Macaca mulatta: one gene and its partners. The protein of the gene in region 2 interacts with the protein of the main gene of each other region in a biochemical or structural test. Links are inferred from orthologs where the notes say so. Each region holds a gene or a part of one and is shown on either strand. Other genes may lie near its edges. The genes, in order: SNAP25, STX3 and SNAP23.

The links.
Region 1: the proteins of STX3 (region 2) and SNAP25 form a complex in vitro, tested with the Homo sapiens proteins (2 studies listed by BioGRID). The link is inferred for Macaca mulatta from reciprocal best matches to the Homo sapiens genes STX3 and SNAP25.
Region 3: the proteins of STX3 (region 2) and SNAP23 form a complex in vitro, tested with the Homo sapiens proteins (3 studies listed by BioGRID). The link is inferred for Macaca mulatta from reciprocal best matches to the Homo sapiens genes STX3 and SNAP23.

What each region holds. Positions count from the first base shown.
Region 1 is NC_133415.1:73,752,913-73,760,841, forward strand, and holds part of SNAP25 (synaptosomal-associated protein 25), read right to left. Parts: intron 4,616-7,929; 5' UTR 4,553-4,615; coding exon 4,481-4,552; intron 2,362-4,480; coding exon 2,320-2,361; intron 1-2,319.
Region 2 is NC_133419.1:14,094,119-14,102,047, reverse strand, and holds part of STX3 (syntaxin-3), read left to right. Parts: intron 1-3,656; coding exon 3,657-3,756; intron 3,757-5,492; coding exon 5,493-5,567; intron 5,568-7,144; coding exon 7,145-7,212; intron 7,213-7,929. UniProt on the Homo sapiens protein: Potentially involved in docking of synaptic vesicles at presynaptic active zones. Apical receptor involved in membrane fusion of apical vesicles.
Region 3 is NC_133412.1:19,915,720-19,923,648, reverse strand, and holds part of SNAP23 (synaptosomal-associated protein 23), read right to left. Parts: intron 6,771-7,929; exon of another isoform or gene 6,654-6,770; intron 5,091-6,653; 5' UTR 5,077-5,090; coding exon 5,020-5,076; intron 3,627-5,019; coding exon 3,585-3,626; intron 3,173-3,584; coding exon 3,124-3,172; intron 1,890-3,123; coding exon 1,772-1,889; intron 1-1,771. UniProt on the Homo sapiens protein: Essential component of the high affinity receptor for the general membrane fusion machinery and an important regulator of transport vesicle docking and fusion.

The DNA of each region.
Region 1 (7,929 bases), on a different chromosome or scaffold from region 2:
TCAAACCTTGGGATCATGAGTAAGATCCTGATACTTCAATCCTCAGGTTTTCCAAATGATTTCTGCCCTTGATGAATATTTAATACAGATTCTCTTTAGAGAACACCCTTTTTGATTGAAAAGCAGAATATCATCTAAATAACCAATGTCCTAGACATCAGGATGTTTGACCACAAATATAAAATAGCCCAGGAGGAAGTAAGAGCAAATCAATCTACTCTAATAACACTTCGCTCACAATTTCCTAAGCATGGAAAGTCTAATAGCCTCCTCTCATTTATTAGAGGCAGGAGATAGCTTCCATCTCTTTTGCTCCTTGTTCTAAGATGTAGCTTCGTGCTTGATTGAAAACTGCTTTAGGAGAAACAAAAACATACGATTCGAGAATCCTACTTCAACCAATAAGCTTTTGAGAGATTTTCCCCTAGAATAAATTAGAGCAGATACTCATTTTTGAAGACTGGCCAACATGGTTTGCAGTTTAAGAAGATACATGAAAAAGTGACCATGTTTCAGACTCTTGATTTGAAAGGGATCAGTTCAAGGTGTGCATTCTGATTCATTTATTCTTCTCCTTTCCACGGTCTAGGCAGCATTTCAACATTGCACAGGCAGGCAAATTAGTGATAGTTCTGATATTTCAGAAACTTACATCAGATGTGCACACACGTAAGCAAAAAAAGAAAAATGAGATCGGAGGCTATGGTTGAAAGTCATAAGGATGTATTATGATAATGTAATAATATACAATCAAATAAATATCTCGGTTGACTTCTGGGCTCCCTTCAGGTTAACATCAGAGCTCATGTAGGCATATCACTAAGATGGGCTTCTTTCATTTTTTTCCGCCTGAAAACTCGAGAGAGAGTAAGTCCATGCTAAGAGCCTTGCCTGCACTCCTAGATTTAGAATATCTACCTCCTTCTTCATCAAGTATTTCTGCATGAGCAGAAGCGTTCCCAGGACAGTACAGATAAAACATTGCTGTTCGCTTAGACAGAATGCTGCTTCCTTGTGCTGAGGGCTTGCTTTGCTAGGGCTGCCTTCCCGTGTGGCCCATTTGTGCCACATTGCAGGCTTGAATTATCATTTTGGGGGATAACAGATTTTGTTATGTACGCCCTACTCTCTCAACCCCCGCCCCACCCACTTCCCCGGCTTCCTAGGGAGTGCATGCTTGCCACCTCCTTCCCACTCCTCCAGTGGCAATTCACATTTAGCCATATCTCATTCCTAGGTGAGAAGCTGAAGCCACAGAAATAAGAGAAGGAAGACATTGCCTCCTAGAGTGTGAGAGGCGGCTGCCTTTCCTTTTACCCTTTGTAAAATTTATCTTTTCTTCCCTTTCATGTTGTTGCATGAGGGGAGTAGGCTCATTTAATCATTCTGCCAGAGAAAGCCCAAGATCTCTAAAAATGATAATCACACATGAATCTATACACTGATAAGCAGTTTCAGAGCACAGCTAAAACAGCATCTCACTGAATAAAAACTATTAGGCTTGTTTTATTAGGTTAAGATAAATATAGTCCAACCCATTCTTTTTCCACTTCATCTCTCCCTTCGGGCAAGTTCAATTAATCCATTTATTCTGCTGGCCGACTGCTGTACTACCAAATTGGAATGAGTGAGGTTTATGATTCCAAGTGCCCTTTTGATTCCATTATTACTGTCTGCCCCATTTTACCCATTTAAAAATAGTTTGGGATTCATTAATCCTGCCTCGCAAATGGATGCTTAATCCAGACAGGAATATAGAAAAGCTTCTGTATTTATAATATTGGACTTGATATTTCCCTTTCTTAAAGGCCTTTCCTATTTTTTTCGTAAATTTTAGTGCTTAACTTTAAATAGAACAATTTCTTAAAATGATATACCTATATGCATTACATATTTTTAAAAGTCATATATGTGGCTAAAGTTAGAACAGAATCTCAAGATTAAATGTAATTTATAGGCACCAAAATAATTACAAATAATATTTCATGTAGATAATTCCTTTGTATATTAAAAATTGCTCTGATTTGCTTAAAGTGATACAATCTTTTGTGATTTCTTGAGAGCACTGACTTGGAAATTCTATTCTTCTCTGCTTCCCAGACTACAGAGGTAGCTTGGGCTGGGAAGGAGGGTGATGTTGCCTTCATGGCTATCTGGCAACTTAAATACAGCATCTCCCTCATTCTGAGCCTTTCTGATAGGCTACATTCACACTGGAATCTATGGGATCATGGACTAAGGAAACATAATAGCAACTAGGAGAGGATATATCAGCATAAAGGATTTGTTTCTTTACCTTAAAATACTGTCACTTCTTACCTCTTCAACCAGTTGCAGCATACGACGGGTGCTTTCCAGCGACTAAGATTAAAAAAACAAACAAACACAAGCTTTATGAGTGCAGGATCCAGAGGTCTTGGAAAGTCAGAAATACTGTATTTACTTGAGAATCACAAAGGGTCTCTATCACATATTCTTTTCAGTTGGCAAGTGAAACACAAAATGTCATTACGTTTTCAAACTCTTTCCTATCAGGCTTTTTACATGATCAGATTCCCTAAAGCAATTACATTAAAGCTTATATTCATAAAATCAAAACCATATGAAGCTGATCTTGATATCAAAGACAAAGTAATCTGGAGAAGATAATTTTGCATGCTCAGAATGCATGAAAAATTATCTCAAATACTCAGAGGATTAATTTGGCCTCCCTGGGCCAGGAATATTAAATTTTAAACACGAGCATAATTTTTCATGAATCGAGATGAATATAACATCAAGTTTCTTACAAAGCTCCTAGAAACACAATTGGAAGTTCTTATCAATACAAATTAAGTTGTTGCCTTAGGGTGAAAAAAATCAAGCATGTTTGAAATGACTAGCCTATAGGAGACAGCTATAATAATTATCTTCATCCTTAGATAAGAAAAAATGAGATGGAAAGTCTGAGCTCTGCAACAGTCCCCCAGGCACGGCGTTGTCATTTTTTTCCTCAGTTCTTTTGAAACGACTAGAATCCAACAACCAGTATGATTTCTCAAAGCTTTGCTTTTAAGTGACAAACTTATTTTGAACAAGATTCTGCAGGAACCTGAAGGATGTTAACTTCCCTGGAAGACCTGTCAGCTGGCTGCTTTTTGAAACAGAATGGCTGCAAGCAGCAGTCTGCTGGTAAAGGTTTAACTACTGGCTCTCTGGGAAAAATATACGAACACATACATGTATTCAAGGTTATTATTTTACTGATGTAAAGGATGAATAGCACAACATTTATAAATAATAATAAAATATACGATACTCTCTTTATTGTAAATTCCGCATAGCCAATTGATTCTCACAGAAAGCTTTTACTGATTTTTGCTGAACTCTTGTATCTATAGCTAACCATGTGATGAACCAGAGTAGTTCTGACATGAATGTTGGTTGGATATTTTCATTTATGTTAATGAGTAAGAAGAAAATGAAACAATGAAGACATGTGTTGGAAATTTCTTCATTTGTGAATGACAAAAGGGATTTCTTTGCCTTAGAGAATCATAACTTTCAAATACTGGAAGATTTCCTCTTTTTGTGTTATTCATAGTATAATGGCTGCAGACATACATATTTCTAACTTTAATCTGCATTATTAATATTTTCTCCACTTTTTAAAGTCTAGGCAATCAGCGAAACAATAAGTCAAGTCCTGATCTGCAGTATTTGCAGATTCTTGGGTTATAAATACTTTTACTCTGTCTGATTTTTAAATTTTCAAATATTTTTAGAGGTAGGAGTCTCTCTATGTTGCTCAGGCTGGTCATGAACTCTTGGCCTATGCGATCCTCCTGCCTCAGCCTCCCAAGCAGCTGAGATCACAAGTGCGAGCCACTGTACTCAGCTCTGCCTGATTTTAAGCTACAACTTCATATTACTGATCATGAAGTTGGAAAGATACATGGTGACACATTATTACACCTTATTTCCACCCTACAGATACAATGGATGGATCTCAAGATCCTGGATAATAGTAAAATGTGGCAAAATAATTAGGAAGTGATGAGGTTTGAGTGTTTATTACTTTTGATTTTAATATAATCTATCTAATTGTCAGTTTATATGATTCAATTTTAATAATGGCTGCATTTAGCAACCAGCTTGCAAAGTTCCTGAAAATGTTAACAATCTGTTCTTAGAACTGAACCTTCTCCAGCATAGCACTGAATGTAAGGCACCCAAAGACATTGCTTTCTTTTCTTAGAGAACCTTGACTTCTCAAGATTTCTAGAAATTGAGAGTTACGGCCAAGGCATTAATTTGTATACAGGTTTTGTAATCAACTCATTCTGGGCTGCAGAAGGCTTAGCTGTATAGAAAATCAAAGTCATACTACTTTTTCTAAAATTGAGACATTGAAAGAAAGCCTTTCCTTACCTAAACCTGAAAAAGACAAACCACTCAGGCCTTCATCTTTTGCCTCCCTTCCTAGGTCTCCACTCCTTACCTCATCAGCCAACTGGTCAGCCCTTCGCTGCATCTCCTCCAGCTCATTGCGCATGTCTGCGTCTTCGGCCATGGTAGCGGTGGGGAGTGGCTGGGCGCCTGGGCTGGGGGGTCAGTGATGGGTTTGGCTCTGGACCTGGAAAGAAGTAGATTTGAAAATATGAGAGCTTATATATGTTCATGTAGGTGTGTGCAAAGACCAGAAAATCTACATGGCCCATATTCAGTCCACATGACTCAGTTTTCTGATCTGAAAGCCATGCTCAGACAGGGGTCAAGAGAATTGTGCTATTTCTCCGAAAGGTGCCACAAATACATACTTGCCAATTCTACCATGGAGGTAGACACCTATCTACCTATGAAATATTTCTAAAGAGACAAACTACCCAAGGGTTGGGAATGATGAGGTTGGAGGGGTGTGGTTTGGGGTTAGTGCACTTTTATCGTCACATTTATTTATTTATTTAAATAGCTCTATTAAGGTATAACAGATATACAGGACACCCCACATATGTGAAGTGGACAACTTGAGAAGTTTTGACATATGTATACGCCCAGAAAACCATGACTGCAATCAAAACAATGAACTTAGCCATTATTCCCCCAAATTTCCTACCCACCCAGTGGTCCCTGCCCTATCCCACATGTCTATGCCCAGAAAACTGCTGATCTACTTTCTTTTCTTTCTTTTTCTTTTCTTTTTGTTTGTTTGTTGGTTTTGTTTTGTTTTTGAGACGGAGTCTCGCTCTGTCACCCAGGCTGGAGTGCAGTGTCGCGATCTCGGCTCACTGCAAGCTCTGCCTCCCGGGTTCACGTCATTCTCCTGCCTCAGCCTCCCGAGTAGCCGGGTCTACAGGCGCCCGCCACCATGCCCGGCTAATTCTTTGTATTTTTAGTAGAGACTGGGGTTTCACGTGTTAGTCAATATGGTCTCGATCTCCTGACTTCGAGATCCACCCGCCTTGGCCTCCCAAAGTGCTGGGATTACAGGCGTGAGCCATCACGCCCAGCCTGATCTACTTTCTGTCACTATACATTAGTTTGCATTTCCTACAATTTTATATAAATAAAAATCACTTAGTAGGTACTGCTTTTTGTCTGCCTTCTTTCACTTAGCATAATTATTTTGAGATTTATCTATTTGGCAGCATGTATTAATAGTTCATTCCATTTTTGTTGTTGAACAGTATTCCATTGTATTTAGAAGCATGTGGAAGCCAAAGGCAGAAAATCTTTCCTCTATTTCAGTTGTCATCAGAGGTTGCCAAAAGGGCTTGTGTGAGGGTGAGCTGCTATCACTCCAAAGAGGATGGGTCCTTGGCCCTGAAAGGTGACCAGTCCATTTCTTGGCTACTCTCTTGAAATCCCACATGGTACAAATGACGGGTACCAGGACTGAGTCCATTCCAGAGAGAGCCCTCCTTCCTCCTTCCTTCTCCAATATTTATTGAGCACCTGTAATATGCCAGGCAGTGTTAGGTACTAGAGATACAGTTATGGACAAGATAGCCAAATTCCCTGCCTTTACAGAATTCAGTCTAATTGGGAAGATGCAAGCAAAAGAGGGAATTAGATGATTCAGGGTGATTATAATTACATTAGGGGTCATGTCTGGTGTCATGGGTGCCCATGGGTTTGCAACAGGCCTCTCTGAGGAAGTCATGTCCCCAGGCCATTGAAGGGAATGGGGTAAAGGGCCTGGTGGGGTAGGTATTTGACAGGGTGAAAAACTCTCTGTGAGTAGCACATTTGAAGAAGGCATGGGCTCTTGTCTTGCAGCTGAGATGGTCAACTGTGCGCTTTATCCTCACTGTTGCATGGTAGAGCGTGATCTCTGGGAAATGGCTGTGCAGCCAGGAATTACATTTCTAGTTCCCATTGCAAGAAGTGGTGTTTTGTGGCTAGAGACAGTCCATGAGTGGTAGTAGAACAATGTGTGTCCCTGTCAGTCTAAGGCAGTTCAGAAGCAGGTATTCTCCTCCCTCTCTTTCTCCTTCTGCCAGAAAAACAGAGTCTTAAAGGATGGCTAAGCCATGAGACCATGAGACAGAAAGAACTTGGGTCCTCCATATCCCTGCATGGAGGAAAGTGACTCCTGGCCTGTAATACCTGAACTCTCGTGTGAGCAAACAATATTTCTATTATGCTATGGAAAATGTGAGGGTTGTTTTGTTATAGCAGCCTGTGTTACACTAACTAGTAAATGTCTGACGAAACTTAAAATGGAACAGAAACATTGCATATGAGCATGATTTCCTAACCAAAAAATGTATTTGTGTTTGTCCTTCTATTGAAAACTGAAGCTGGGAAAGGAAATTAGATTTAGGGCCTTGGGACACTACCATGTTTATTATTAATATTATTTGCATGAGAATGACAATCACTTTTTGGAAAAACAAAAATGAAAATTCCGTATGAAAAAAATTCAGGAACATACTCAATGGGAGGCAAGGGAACAAAAGTTCCCAGAGGCAGGTCCTGGATCTGATCCTGGGGGAGCAGGCTCTGCCATCTCGCCTCCCGGGTGCACGATTCTACTGCTTCCTCAACAAAGATGGAATTTTCTAGGCTTTTAATTTAGTACATATTAATATCACTTTCCAAATTTATTGCTCTTGTGAAAAAAAAAATCATACTATTTAGGGCTCTTAGATAGGAGGAATCCTAAAGTGAAACTTCTTTGGAGATAACAGGTTTCACAGGTCTCTACCCAGTGACTGCTGGGCAAAGCATCAAATATGAAATCAGAGTAAAAAAAGAAATAACAAAGCTTCAGGGTTGCCTTATTCTACCACTGGCATTAAACAAATAATGGAGTAAGTTTATGTGAGGTTAGTTTTATGGGCAGTCATTTAATGACTGACAGAACATCTTACTATGAGCCTGCTAATTTTCAAATGCGTGTTCTGGCCACTAGAACATGTGCTCGTGAGATGATGTAGAGATGTGAACACTGTGTTTTACTTAAATACACGAGACTTTATTTCCATGTCTCCATTTTAGAAATTAGGATCTAGAAAACAGACACTGGAAGGAATTTACACCAAGTCACTCCTGAATCTTAAGACGCACAGAAATGAAACTCCACTATTCCCAAGTGACGGGGGATCTATCCTCCAGAGTAAAGCAGTGGACCCGTGGGGAAGTTGAGTAGACTGTGGACCATAATTTAGTGGAGTGGGTGGATAAAGGCATTGGTGTCAGACAGATCTAGCTGGATTGTTGGCCCTGGTGTTCAGAAGCTGGGTGAGTCTGGGTAAGTTCATCGCCATCTCTAAGCTTTAGTTTTCTCAACAGTACAAACAATACCAATCTCATGGGGTTGTTGAGGGGAATAAATTACAGAAAACCTTGTTTGTAAAAAAGGATGTGGAGTTTAATATTCAGAAAGCCTCGCCCATTCACAGCCCCACACACACCCTAGGCGAAGAGTGGAACAAACCCGGTATT
Region 2 (7,929 bases):
TAGAGCCCCCAAGACCAGTTCTTCTGTGCATAGGGCAGGGTGAGCATCAGCCATCCAGTCTCCAAATACCTGTAGTGACACTGAGCCTGAGGCCTGCCAGTCTCATCCTAGAAACTTCCTATCTCTTCCTGTGTTTCTACCATTGACTAAACTTTGGGTCAGGATACTCTTCAGTTTATAAAATAATTTTCCAGATGAGAAAATTTCTATGACAACCAATCTGTTGAACATGCAAAATCTAAGTCCTTCATGGCTTGTTAAAATTTGATCAACTCATTTAAAAATGTTTAGTGTGTTTTCTTCTAGAAAGCCTTTTTCCCCCCTTAATCCTGTAAAACAGTGTAATCGCTTTGGCAAGGCAGTCATGTAGTGGAACTGGAAACATGGTGTGATGCAATGACATGAGTTCTAAGAGGGGCCGGTAGATTCTGAGGTGGTCACACCCCTAGAGTCTGTGAGTGTATTAGTCCGTTTGCACGCTGCTGATAAACACATACCTGAGACTGGGCAATTTACAAAAGAAAGAGGTTTAATGGACTTTGAGTTCCACGTGGCTGGGAAAGCCTCACAGTCATGGCGTAGGTCAAGGAGGAGCAAGTCACATCTTACATGGATGGCAGCAGGCAAAAAGAGAGCTTGTGCAAGGGAACTCCTGTTTTTAAAACCATCAGATCTTCTGAGACTTATTCACTATCATGAGAACAGCATGGGGAAGACCCACTCCCATGATTCAGTTGTCTCCCAGTGGGTCCCTCCCATAACACATGGGAATTATGGGAGCTACAAGATGAAATTTGGGTCGGGACACAGAGCCAAACCGTATCAGTGAGTGTTCAGAGGTTGTAACAGTGGCCCTTTTTATAGCTGGGTAGTGCTAGAATGCTTCTAAACAGTATAGATAGTTTAAAAAAAATTAACTCTTTGATCTAATGGAAAAAAGCATCCCAGTTGGAGTGTGGCGGGCACTATTTGCATGCTGTCCCTACCACAAGCTATGTGACCTATGATTTCTTTAAACTTGTTTCCTCATTTGAATAATGGTACCGATCCAGTCTTATAGGTTGTTTTGCAAACTGTTAAAATGCTTCACAAATATTTGGGTAGTTACCTGTATGTATATTTACACTCCCATGATATTATTACATTGTAATTTTATTCTACATCTTTCAGCAAGCAACTCTACTCTCAAACTGTGGCACATCTAAACCAATATATTTATAGAGGGGAAAAGCGTGTACTCCAGTGGCAAAAGTACTGATTTGAGGGCTGGAGAGCTCAAGTGTTTTTTTTCCTATTTTCTTTCTCTCTTTTTTCTTTTCTCTCCTTTTTTTTTTATTTTTTATTCTTTTGAGACAGAGTCTCACTCTGTTGCTCAAGCGGGAAATGCAGTGGCATGATCATGGCTCACTGTGGCCTCAACCTCCCAGGCTCAAGGGATCATCCATTTTAGCCCCCTGAGTAGCTGGGACTACAGGGGCGTGCCACAATGCGTGGCTGAGTTTTGTGTTTTTTGTAGCGACGGGGTTTTGCCATGTTACCCAGTCTGATCTTGAACTCCTGGGTTCAAGTAATCTGCCTGCCTTGGCCTCTCAAAGTGCTGGGATTACAGGTGTGAGCCGTTGTGCCTGGCCTCTCCTATTTTCTTTTCTTTTTTTTTTTTGAGACAGAGTCTCGCTTGGTCGCCCAGGCTGGAGTGCAGTGGCCGGATCTCAGCTCACTGCAAGCTCCGCCTCCAGGGTTTACGCCATTCTCCTGCCTCAGCCTCCCGAGTAGCTGGGACGACAGGCGCCCGCCACCTCGCCCGGCTAGTTTTTTGTATTTTTTAGTGGAGACGGGGTTTCACCGTGTTAGCCAGGATGGTCTTGATCTCCTGACCTCGTGATCCACCGTCTCGGCCTCCCAAAGTGCTGGGATTACAGGCTTGAGCCACTGCGCCCGGCCTCCTATTTTCTATTGAATATGAAGAGCTATAATCAAGTTTTGAAAAAGATGAAGTATCCACGGGAAAAGAGGGATGCTGGAAGCTGCATATGCATTGAGTTTTATTTTTGTTGCATCTCAGATGTTAGGATCCTACTGTATGACATTTTACAAGATTTCTGTTTGTTAATTGTTGCAATGTTGATGTGCCCTTCACTTTGAGAGTGAAGCGGATAGACCCTGCAGGTGTTGAGGTTTCTCCTTCCTGTCCTGCTCCCTGTATATAGGCTTCCACCGCAGCAGGGCTATGGAAACAGCGGCATGGGGAGCTATGAAGGGGGATCTGAGACTGCAGTCAAAGCTCATGTAGGAATGTCTGGCAGTGGCGTTCTACCTGGGAATGAAGTGCTGCTGGAAATATTTTATGATACCCACAGCCTTGTACAATCAGGAACCTTAGAAATATGCAGAAATGGGCTGTGGCTTGAGCTACTGGGTCCTGATTGTCTGAGGAAATCAGTTAGTACAAGAACATATGTCCTAGAGAAGCTCAGGCTGTCTCATGAGACCTTCATTGCCTATTATCTCTCTCTTTTTTTCTCTCCTTGTCTTCTTTGTCTGTTTCTGTCTTTTTCTTTAATTTTTGTTTTTTTTTTTGAGACGGAGTCTTGCTCTGTCGCCCAGGCTGGAGTGCAGTGGCGCGAACTTGGCTCACTGCAAGCTCCACCTCCTGAGTTCACGCCATTCTCCTGCCTCAGCCTCCTGAGTAGCTGGGACTACAGGCGCCCGCCACCACGCCCGGCTAATTTTTATTTATTTATTTTTTGTTTTTTTGAGACGGAGTCTCGCTCTGTCGCCCAGGCTGGAGTGCTGTGGCCGGATCTCAGCTCACTGCAAGCTCCGCCTCCCGGGTTCCCGCCATTCTCCTGCCTCAGCCTCCCGAGTAGCTGGGACTACAGGCGCCCGCCACCTCGCCCGGCTAGTTTTTTGTATTTTTTAGTAGAGACGGGGTTTCACCGTGTTAGCCAGGATGGTCTTGATCTCCTGACCTTGTGATCCGCCCATCTCGGCCTCCCAAAGTGCTGGGATTACAGGCTTGAGCCACCGCGCCCGGCCACCCGGCTAATTTTTTGTATTTTTAGTAGAGATGGGGTTTCATCGTGTGAGCCGGGATGGTCTCGATCTCCTGACCTCGTGATCCGCCGCCTTGGCCTCCCAAAGTGCTGGGATTACAGGCTTGAGCCACCGCGCCTGGCCTGTTTCTGTCTTTCTCTTCCTCTCATTCTGTGTTTTTCACTGTCTAGGTTTGTTCTTTTCGTTTCACTTCTTTCCTTCCTTCCTTCCTTTTCCCCCTCTCCTTCATCCTCACTCTTTTCTGTTCTCACTTTTCGGGCTTTAAGGCTCTGCCTGCTAAGGTCTGCTGATTCTCCCCCTCTGATCATTCCTCATGGTTTTTCCCAGCTCTTCTTGACTTTGGCCTGAATCCTTCCATCCAAAGTGGGTAAATGTATTACTCTCAGGGAGCAACAAGTATGGATTTTTAACAACTGTTCTGTTGAGATGACTTTAACCATGGAAAGGGTACTCACTGGGCAGCTGAAGACTTTAAGTCATTATCTTCTTCCACGAACCCAGAAGATGGGCAGCTTTCACCAGCAGCTCTGCCAAGCGTTTATCTCAGCCATGGACCTGTACTTCCTCTTTGATGATGGAAGTTATTGTCTTTCTGATTATAGATTGAGGAAACTCGGCTTAACATTGACAAGATCTCAGAACATGTGGAGGAGGCTAAGAAACTCTACAGTATCATTCTCTCTGCACCGATTCCAGAGCCAAGTGAGTGGTTACTTAGAACTGAGTCACCCAATAATCAGCCTTTCCTCGGGGCTGAGCCAGCCTTGTTTTCTTGCCCTTCGTGAGCAGCAGGGAAGTGTACAAGTTACAGGGCACTAGTGTACATATTATCTCATTTCCCTCTCCTTTACCTTACCTGTGCTCCTACTGCCTGGCCACAGTCACGGTTTTCTCTTCATGGTCCCACTCCAACCATTTAGCCAGACTTTCCTGTTTCCCAGCTAGTCCCTCTTCCTGACTAGCGACGATTCCCACTGCTGCTTACATACCCTGGGCCTGGTCCCTCCTCTGAGCCTCTGCTTGTACTGTTTCCCCAGCCTGAAATGCTTTTCCTAGCCCTCTTTCCGAATCCTACCAGACCAAGTTCATTTTTTTTTCCATGAGGTGTTCCAAAATGGTTCAAGTTCACAGAAATTCCTTCTATCCCTAAACTCCTGTTTGTTGCCACCACCTCGGCAAACTTTTTTCCTCCCCTAATTGTTTGCACGGGTGTCCAACCTTTTTTCTTCCCTGGGCCACATTGGAAGAAGAATTGTCTTGGGGCCATACATAAAATACACTAACACTAATGATAGCCGATGAGCTAAAAGAAAGGTTTGCACATAATTTTCCTGATATCTGCCACCACAGAGAAGCAAAAAAATCTGTGCATTCCACGGTTTGGACACGGGTGGTTTAGGGCTATATTTTCAGTTCCTTAAGAACAGGGAGCAAGCCTGACACTGTCATTCCTCTCTTTCATTTTTCCCATGGGCCCTATTACCTAAAGACTGAAGTGGGAACACTTTAGCAGAGCGTATGGACATTGTCTTGATCACATTCCTGCCTTCCCAGCCAGCCTGCCTCCTGCCATCCTCCTCCTGCTCCCCACGCTTCAGCCAGACCAATTCTGGTGGTTCCTCAGATATTTCCTGTTCACTCATACCCTTTACTTACTGTTTCTTCTCGTGGGATTCCTGCTCTTAGTCTCTTTCTCTACCTGGCCAACTCACAGTCCTTGAGACTCAGTCCTGCTCATCTCCGTCTTTAGAAGCTTTTCCAGATCCCTCCAGGCTGTGCACACCTTGACCAGAACTCATACCTTACTCCACGCTGCATATTACAGCTGCTGGTTTATTTCTCTCTTGTCTCCCACTAGACTTTAAACATCTTGCAGGAAAAACCTAGATCTTCTTTCTGATTCCATAGTTTCTAGCTCTGTTCCAAAGTTGTAGTAGGGGGTTGAAGGATGGCTTTTGAATGAATGGTTATAGCTAATACTTAGTTTGCTCCATACAACCTAGGATGTGTGTAATAGGTATGTCATAAATATTTGCCTCATTTTAAGTTGATTAGCCTTGGTTGAAATCTCTTTTCCCCATAAGCTCCCTAGAACCTTCTCAACCGAAGACCCCATGGTAGGCTCTTTCCTCTAAAAGCAGAGTTCTCATAATTTTATGTGCTGCAGGATTACTTGGGAGGGTTGAAAGGGCTGATTTTGCGGTTCCAACCTGGGTGTTTTTATTCTGTAGACTGGGATGGGGTGCCTGGAAAATGCCTTTAAAAAAATAAGCACTCTGTGATTCTAATGATAGATTCTGGGGAGTGCGCTGGGATAAATACCATTCTGGGCAGTGGATGCCTGAGAAAGCCACCCTGCTCTGATGATGATTGCTGTAGCTCACAAAGGAATCAGTCCTCTCCTTTCTAACGGATTCTGCCTGCCTTTGTTTACCCAGAAACCAAGGATGACCTAGAGCAGCTCACGACTGAGATTAAGAAAAGGGCCAACAACGTCCGGAACAAACTGAAGAGTAAGAAGGGAATGAAGGAAACAAGCCAGTCCCCACCACCATCTATCTCAGCTCCCCTAGGGTCCAGCTTTCCGAACTGAAACTCTTCTTGGTGGAACTGACACCACTTGGACCATCTTTGTTTGTGGTTCAGGCTCTGTCCCTGCAATGATCCATTGTAGCCCCAGAAATTTACCTTTTCTTAAATCCTGACAATACTGGAAAGAGTCCAGAATGCAAGCTAGGAGATGAGAATTAAAATGTGCTTTCAGCTGCTGAGTAGTTGTGTGACTTGGTCCTTTAACTTAGTCTTTCAACTTTTCTTTTTTTTTTTTTTTTTTGAGATGGAGTCTCACTCTGTTGCCCAGGCTGGAGTGCAGTGGCACTATCTTGGCTCATTGCAACCTCCACCTCCTGGGTTCAAGTGATTCTCCTGCCTCAGCCTCCTGAGTAACTGGGACGCACCTGGCCCATCAACTTTTCTCTTATTAGTCTTATTTCCCTGGCAACTACATACTTTTTTTTTTTTTTTAAGACAGAGTCTTCCTCTGTTGCCCAGGCCAGAAGGCAGTGGCTCAGTTTCGGCTCACTGCAATCTCTGCCTATTGGGTTCAAGTGATTTTCATCCGTCAGCCTCCCAAGTGGCTGGGATTACAAGCATGCACCACCTCACCCAGCTAATTTTTATAGTTTTAGTAGAGACAGCATTTCACCATGTTGCCCAGGTTGGTCTCGGACTTCTGGCCTCAAGTGATCCACCTGCCTCGGCTTCCCAAATTGCTGGGATTCCAAGTGTGGGCCACAATGCCCAGCCACCTACATACATTTGAATAGTCGTTTTAGAGACATATAGATGCAAGAGATACCGTTCTGTCTACAGATATTTCTTGGTGGGCTAGGCATACCACCTTCCTATACCCCCACTCCCCCCATTTGGGAGAGTATAGTTCATTGAAGCTACTGTCATAGATTCAATTCTTCCAGAGTCTAGAAGGTTTACTTAGTTCTGTTGCTAGAGCCTGCATTCTTGCCCAGTGTATTTGGTGCATGCATGCTATTGATCAGAAGAGAAAACATTATTGCTCAGCCCAATTTGCCATTTCTTCCCCCCAAGTATATTGCAATAACTATGTTAACTGGAGGGGTCATTAGTAGCAGATTCCAGTAATAACAGTGATAGTGCACCTGCCATTGTGATAGGTACTTTATGTGTCTTCTCATTTAATCTTCATATTAGTATTGTGAGGGAGGGACTGTTAGTTATTCTGTTTTACAGATGAGAGAACAGGTCCATTTAAGAGAGGTTAAGTGGCTTTTTCAAAGTCACACCCAGTAAGTGCCAGGGCAAGGATTCAAGCTTAAGTCTCATGGTGACCAAAACCCAAGCTGTTAACTGTTATGCCAAAACCTGGTCATTGTAAAGGCTGTGGAATGCATGTCCTGTGGCTCACCTGGGAGCTGACCTTTTGAGGTGCCACCTACCTGTTGTTACATCTCCATGGGCTGGGTGTGTGGGAATGAGTGAGGAAGTTTCACTGAACAGCATGTTTCTTGGAGGAGGAGATAGGTTGCAAGTATAACCTTCCTCTTCTCTTTAGGCATGGAGAAGCATATTGAAGAAGATGAGGTCAGGTCATCGGCAGACCTTCGGATTCGGAAATCCCAGGTAAGACTTTTCCTGGTCTCACGGTTATCTAGTCCAATTTCTTAATATTTTTCCTTAGCTGTGGAGGGATTTTTTTTTTTTTAATACAATCCTTATCTGAAACTCAATTTGAAGAGCTGATAAAGGAGAACTCTCCAGGTAGAAATAGGGGTCAGGGCCAGAGTCCAGCCCTTTTGGCCCCTGTCTTGTACTCTGCTTCTCTAAGGAGGCCCCTGAAGAGCTTCTTCAGGCTTCCTAGAGCACAGCTTAGGATTTAGTGCGCCTCCTTGTTTTGCAGGAGAGGAAATTAATGTCTTCTAAACAATTGTTAGTCATTGGTTGTCCAGTTTGGAGCCAGGCACTTTAGGGGTCATCAAAGATATGATCCTTGTCCTTAAAGAACTGGCATGCCATTGAAGTGGCATGGAAAGCTATTACCTAAGACCCAGCAGGAGGACGGGATAAGAAGACACATACATGGTGCTGTCAGCATCAAAAGATCTCAGGAAGAATTGGGGGTAGCCAGCTGGGCCGGAGTGCCAACATGAACAGGCTCAAGAAGCAGTTTTCCCTCTCTGAGAGGCACAGGGGCAGGAGTGGGGCGTGCATGTGTGTGTGCGTTGGCAGCAGTGGTTGGTAGTGGTAAGGGGTAGACGTAAGGGGCAGACGTGAAGACAATAGGCTTTCTGGAGAAAAAAGTTTGCTGTGGGATAGCGGACACATAATAACGTAGTATCA
Region 3 (7,929 bases), on a different chromosome or scaffold from region 2:
AAAATATGAACTTTCAGCTGGGAGCAGTGGCTCACGCCTGTAATCCCAGCACTTTGGGAGGCAGAGGTGGGCAGATCACCTGAGGTTAGGAGTTTGAGACCAGCCTGGCCGACATGGTGAAAGCCTGTCTCTACTAAAAATATAAAAATTAGCCGGGTGTGGTGGCACATATTTGTAATCCCAGCTACTTGGGAGGCTGAGGCAGGAGAATCACTTGAACCTGTAAGGTGGAAGTTGCAGTGAGCTGAGATCACACCACTGTACTCCAGCCTGGGTGACAGAGCAAGACTCCGTCTCAAAAAAAAAAAAAAAAAAACTCTCCGTTAGTCAACCAAGGTGTAAACAGGTCAACAGACTTGTTAGAACAGGAAGTCAATGGATAAGACTAGGAAGAACACTGTCAAATCTTAACTCCTCATGGCCAAAACAAACACTAAAGTTGACTGACAAGCAATTAATCTCTACTTTCTCCAGTAGAAATGGCACAAAAATGCTGTTACATAAAACACTTATCTGAAAATATAAAAATATAACCACTGTTGGTTTACAAGACCAGCTGAGAACTGGATGAAATACTAATGTCTAAGAAGCTCTTTAAAAATGAATACTTTGAGGCCAGGTGCGGTGGCTCACACCTGTAATCCCAGCAACTGGGGAGGCTGAGGCGGGCGGATCATGAGGTCAAGAGATCAAGACCATCTGGCCAACATGGTGAAACCCTGTCTCAACTAAAAATACAAAAATTAGCTGAGTGTGGTGGTGGGCGCCTGTAGTCCCAGCTACTTGAGAGGCTGAGGCAGGAGAATCACTTTAACCGGGGAGACAGAGGTTGCAGTGAGCCAAGATTGTGCCACTGCATCCCAGCACTTTGGGAGGCCGAGGTGGGAGGATCTCTTGTGCCCAGGAAAGAGAGGCTTAAGTAAGCCGTGATCACACCGCTGCATTCCAGCCTGAGTAACAGAGACCCTGTCTCAGGGGGGAAAAAAAAAAAAACCTTTCAGCAGTGAGTACAGTCATTCAATCTCCAGATACTGTCATTTCTTTTTACACTCCACTCCAATCTATCAACTCTTTAGTTTGGCATTCAAGTTCCTCTACTACCTAGTTATATCTTACTTTCCACTTCTCATCTACATGAGCACACAGCTCAGTTAAGTCAAGCTCCTTGTTAATCTTTATTTTGAACCTTTCATAGGAAATGCCCTCACTGTTCCTCCCTGTTCATCCAAATCCTTCTAATCACTCAAAGCCCAACCCACATCCTAACTCTTCTATAAGATGCTCTCCAACCCAACCTTTATCAGTTCTGTATACCTAGCTTTGGTCACTATCATATAATCTAACATCAGATTTATGTATTTTTTAAGTTTTGCCTTTCTTTCCCAACTTTTCTACTCTTTTGGCCATCCCTCATGTGCCTACCACAAAATAAATATTTTGTTAATACTCTGCCTTTTGAAAGGAAAAGAAAATAACTCCATCCTGCTCACCATCATCCAGATATACATTTCTCTATACTTCTTAACCTTTTCATGTATCACTACAAATTGAAATTGGAACTTGATCCCAGGATTGGTCAACTATAAGTCATAGTTTTCAGTGAACAAGCAGTATTGACACAAAAAGCTTAATCTGCCTGAAGGAGAGACAACTTAGATTTATCTAATAGAGTTCCTCATTAAACCCAGTCATACTTCTGACCTTAGCTGGCGGGAGAAGGTGGGGTACTGTCATTTATTTATTTTGAAACCGTCTTAATTTATCAACTCACCTATTACATGGGCAGACACAAAGGCCACAGCATTTGTTGAGTTCTGTTAAGGTCTTCTCTGTCTCTCTCATATCTTTATTTATTTGGTCCAAGCCTTCTTCTATGCGGTTTAGTTGTTCTAAGAATAAGTTGTAAAGTTACATTTTGTGTTCCATTCACAGTGTCAACCAGAAAATGCTATTATTATGGAGCAGTCAACTTCAACCTTGAATCTACCAATAACTCCCCACAGTGAATAAGTCAGTGTCAAAAGGTATTAGAAGCTATTCAACATGATAACAATCTTTCACGTACTGATCCTGAGGCACCTAGCCTCTTGCTGTGGAAAAATTTGTTCTAAGAAGTTTGTATATGGCTGGGTATGGTGGCTCATGCCTGTGATCCCAGCACTTTGGGAGGCCGAGGTGGGCGGATCACCTGAGGTCAGGAGTTCAAGACCAGCCTGGTCAACATGATGAAACCCCATCTCTACTAAAAATACAAAAATTAGCTGGGTGTGATGATGGGTGCCTGTAATCCCAGCTACCTGGGAGGCTGAGGCAGGAGAATCACTTGAACCTGGCAGCTGGAGGTTGCAGTGAGATGCAATTGCACCACTGAACTCCAGCCTAGATGACAGAGTGGGATTCCCCTCAAAATAAAATAAAATAAAATAAAAATAAAAAATAAAAGAATCTTGTATAGTAGGACCAAGGGATGGTTATTTAGAGATCATCCTTACAACCAAGTTAAGGGTACTCTGACCAGGTCAAATCCCCATCATTTCTATGAGGTTCAAAACCTGAGGGCTGTTATAGGAGTAATAAAAACTAGACCTGATTAATCAGGGCCAACTCAAGTGCTTCCAAGCACACCTGAATCTAGATCTGTTTTAGGACTTAACTTGATTTGAGGATGATGTAAGAATATCACAATGTCTGCCCAGACATGGTGGCTCATGCTTATAATCCCAGCACTTCGGGAGGCCAAGGTGGACGGATCACTTGAGGTCAAGACTTTGAGATCAACCTGGCCAACACAGTGAAACCTGTCTCTACTGAAAATACAAAAAATTAGCTGGGTGTGGTGGTGGGTACCTGTAATCCCAGCTACATTACTATCATAATGTCTAATGTGTTAGCCATGCTGGTCTAACACATACTCGGTATATACACAGTTGGGCATTGTTGCCTGCCATCCCAAATAGACAGTGAACATGACATTATTCAAACCAGAAGACAAGAAGTAAACATATTATTCTTACTTTACAAAGGGAAGGCCCTCCCAAAGGCTGAAATTTGTATGTGGCTAATCTGATAGGGCTTTTTGGCATCATGGTCAAATTAAGAATTTCTGCTAATAATTTAACTCACCCCCTTGTTCATCCAGCATAGTGATGGTCTTGATTCCTGCATCCTGAGACTAAAAGAAGTGGGAAAAAGGCTGATAGTAAAACAAAACAAACCAAAAACAACAGAAACAAAACCTACAAGAGCTGTCAAATAGCAAGACAGAATAATTTAGAAACCCAAGCTCTCAGAGGATTAGAGCTACAGACAGAACTAGTATTCTTAAACACACTTTAACATAGTAGCCCCCCAAAATAATTAAGTCACAAACTCATAGTGAATTCATCTTCCCTGTCATATTCCAATACTGTCAAAGGGAAAAACAAAAAAGGCCCATTAGTGCATAATTTGACAATTTCAGCAACTGTTAATTTCAAATAATAAAGCATATTGATACATTACCCTTTAACACTAATTCCAGCCAGAAGTATTAGGATATCTCCTATAAATTTTTATACTTAAGTTGGTGACTAACATTTTCTTACCTCAATGGCTAAACCCAGGATTCTCCTCGTACTTTCCAGAGACTAGGAAAAAACACAGAGTTTTAGCATTCCAAAATATGTAAAAAACAAAACAAAACAAAACAAAAAAACCATCCGATCACAGGCCACATTCATGATGCTATTCTATCTTTAAAAATGGCCAGCTCAGGCTGGGCACAGTGGCTCATGCCTACAATCCCAGCACTTTGGGAGGCTGAGGCAGGGGGATTTCTTGAGTACCAGAGTCCAAGACCAGCCCAGGCAACATAGCCCAACGGAGAGACTGTCTCCATTAAAGGAAAAAACAAAAAGAATTGCCAGCCTATCCCTTCCTTTAAAACAATGGGCCGGGCGCGGTGGCTCAAGCCTGTAATCCCAGCACTTTGGGAGGCCGAGACGGGTGGATCACGAGGTCAGGAGATCGAGACCATCCTGGTGAACACAGTGAAACCCCGTCTCTACTAAAACTACAAAAAACTAGCCGGGCGAGGTGGCGGGCGCCTGTAGTCCCAGCTACTCGGGAGGCTGAGGCAGGAGAATGGCGTGAACCCGGGAGGCGGAGCTTGCAGTGAGCTGAGATCAGGCCACTGCACTCCAGCCTGGGCGACAGAAGCGAGACTCCGTCTCAAAAACAAACAAACAAACAAAAAAAACCAAAACAAAACAATGGCCGGGTGTGGTGGCTCATGCCTATAATCCCAGCACTTTGGGAGGCTGAGGTGGGTGGATCACGAGGTCAGGAGTTCGAGACCAGTATGCCCAACATGGTGAAACCCCGTCTCTACTAAAACTACAAAAATTAGCTGGGCGTGGTGGCACATGCCTGTAATCCCAGCTACCCAGGAAGCTGAGGCAGGAGAATCGCTTGATGAACACAGGAGGCAGAGGATGCAGTGAGCCGAAATCACATCACTGCACTGCAGCCTGGGCAATAGAGTGAGACTCTGTCTCAAAAAAAAAAAAAAAAAAGTAAGTTGATCACTACATTTTCGGTTATTTTCAAGTGCTCCTTAAGAGAAAATGTGTAAGGACTTCCAGTGTGATGTTGAAAGGAAAAGTTTTTTTAAAAAAGAGAGAATATTTGGATGGTGAAGTTCATGGGAATAAAAATTTTATAGTCATAAAAATTTAATGTAGGTAGAAATCTAAGTAAATTACAGATATTAGGAAATTGTTAAATAGAAGTCTAGCATTTCTCAAATACATAATAGAGTATCTTTGTTGCACTTAAGTAATAAGTACCTAAAAAATAAAAATCATACAAATTGTTTTCACTTTAAGAAAATAAAAACCAGCAAAGGCACTAAGGGGCAAATGTGTTCTTTGATATTAATGGACTAGGAAGAGGCCAAAATGGTCCCTAAGAAGGCCCTCTCACCCCTCCAATATGAAAACTGAAATAGAATTATTTACTTATTTTAGGTAAAACATTTACCTCATCAGTAATCTGGTGAGCTCTCAGTTGAATTTCTTCTGATGACAGATTATCCATGATGAATCAAAACTCTATTAGGCACAGAAATGGAAATGTGGATATTGTATAAGAATAAGGATATATAAAAGTTTGTGTGAGCAAAAAGTGTAGATTTATGGAATTTAGGAACTTATCAGGAAAACAGGATAAAAGAGCCTCTTTCTATATCTATTAGTCTACCACAAGTAAAGAAATCAAGACCGAGAGAGGCTAAATGAATGTTTAGTAAGAGTGCTAAGGGTGAACCTAAAATACAGGTTTTAGGACTTCTAGGGAAGTACTCTTTCCAACAGGAAAGTGGATCCTTTACTTTGAGAACCAAGGCATTACTGGAAGACAAGCGTTAAAAGACTATTATATTAAAATGAATTTTTGGTTGTTCGATGTTCTTCACGTGTTGTCTGAACATGGAAAAGCAGTAAGTGAAGAAAAGTCCAATTTAGTAAAGTAACAAAATTTTAAGTTACATGCCTGAAGAACACAGGAGACATTTCTAAATATGCCAGTTGTCCCGCGTACTCACTGGAGAAAATACTTTCGCTCTTAACAAGAAAAGGGAAATGCTGGTACAAACAGCTCAGAAAAGACTAAGATTTTTATTATGCATTAGACTCTTCCTCTCCAATGGCTTATATTGTTTGTTGTTTTAGTGGAGTCCCTAAGAAACCAAACAATTATTCTCCTACACATAGTAACTCAGAAAGAGATCTCATAGACATCCAAGCTAAAAAATAAAACATTTTGTAGGTGTTATTCAGCACGGCTGTTATCTAATTCCTCTTTGAGAAGTCATGTGGAGTAATAACAAGCATTGTGCAACGGATCTAGGTTCTTTCTTTGTTACATTTGCTAGCTTTGTATGAATTTTCTCAAAACTCATTTACCAAAGCTCACAGTCAATGACACAGATAAACTCTGGTTCTTATTACAGATTTGCCCCCAGGAATCTGGCAATGTCTGGAGATGCTTGATTGTCACAACTTGGGCCAGATGATGGGGCTGGTTACTGGCACCTAGTAGGTAGAGGCAGGGAAGCCGTTTAACATCCTACAATACTCTTCAGGAAAGCCCTCCAGCAAAGAATAATCTGACCCAAAATGTCAATTTGAGGTGAGAAACCTTGCCATGGATATACCCTATGATAAGCAGAAAACCTAATTCCCCCAAGAATGTACTGGACTGAATTCTTGGAAGGCAGAGATTTTATCTTTGTATCTCTAACACCTAATAGGATCTGACAGTAGATACTCCGAAAATAGCGGAATGAACAAATAAGTAGAAAAACAGGGTGTACTCTCAAAGTATTTACGTGGCTCTTAGAAACAAAGCTGCATGTAACAGTAGCACAAAGCCTGCAAAGAATCACTAGAGCCACAAACCAAAAACTGCTATTCCAAGTGTATGATATGATCACATACAAATCTTTTCAGTCACTTTTGGCTGGGCGTGGTACCTCATGACTGGAATCCTAGCACTTTGGGAGGCTGAGGTGAGTGGATGGCTTGATCTCAGGAGTTGTAGTTCAGCCTGGGCAACATGGCAAAACCCCGTCTCTACCAAAAATACAAAAATTAGCTGGGCATAGTGGCGCGCACCTGAAGTCCAGCTACTGGGGAGGCTGAGGTGGGCAGATTGCTTGAGTCCAGGAGGTTGAGGCTGAAGTAAGTCATGATCATGGCACTGCACTCCAGCCTGGGTGACAGAGCAAGACCCTATCTCAAAAAAATAAATAAAATAAAAATAAAATAATAATAATAATAATCTTTTCAGTCGTTTTTAGGTGAACCACTACTATCATTTTATTTTTTATTTTTTTGAGATGGAGTCTCACTCTATTGCCCAGGCTGGAGTTCAGTGGTGCAACCTTGACACACTGCAACTTCCACATCCTGGGTTCAAGCAACTCTCCTGCCTCAGCCTCCCAAGGAGCTGGGATTACAGGCATGCACCACCACACCCTGCTAATTTTTGTATTTTTAGTAGAGATGGGGTTTCACCATGTTGGCCAGGCTGATCTCGAACTCCAGACCTCAGGTGATCCATCCACCTCAGCCTCTCAAATTGCCAAGATTACAGGCATGAGTCACTGCGCCCAGCCTGAGCCACTGCGCCCGGCCCTGTTTATAATTCTACTGTCATAACTGCTTTATGGTTTAAGATTTTGAGGGCCAGGCATGGTGGCTCACGCCTGTAATCCCAGCACTTTGGGAGGCTGAGGTGGGTGGATCACGAGGTTAGGAGATAGAGGCCAGCTTGATCAACATGGTAAATCCCCCTCTCTACTAAAAATACAAAAATTAGCCGAAGGTGGTGGTAAGCACCTGTAATCCCAGCTACTTGGGAGGCTGAGGCAGGAGAATTGCTTGAACCTGGGAGGCGGAGGTTGCAGTGAGCCGAGATCGCGCCACTGCGCCACCGCACTCCAGCCTGGGCAACAGAGTGAGGCTCTGTCTCAAAAAAAAAATAAAAAAGCCGGGCGCGGTGGCTCAAGCCTGTAATCCCAGCACTTTGGGAGGCCGAGACGGGCGGATCACGAGGTCAGGAGTTCGAGACCATCCTGGCTAACACGGTGAAACCCCGTCTCTACTAAAAAATACAAAAAACTAGCCGGGTGAGGTGGCGGGCGCCTGTAGTCCCGGCTACTCGGGAGGCTGAGGCAGGAGAATGGCGTAAAAACCCGGGAGGCAGAGCTTGCAGTGAGCTGAGATCCGGCCACTGCACTCCAGCCTGGGCGACACAGCGAGACTCCGTCTCAAAAAAAAAAAAAAAAAAAAAAAAAAAAAGATTTTGAGCCTTGATTAAAGCTATTAGTGCTCATGAAAGAAAGAATTTTAAGTTCCAAATTTAGGTTTCTATCTTGCTTGCCACAGA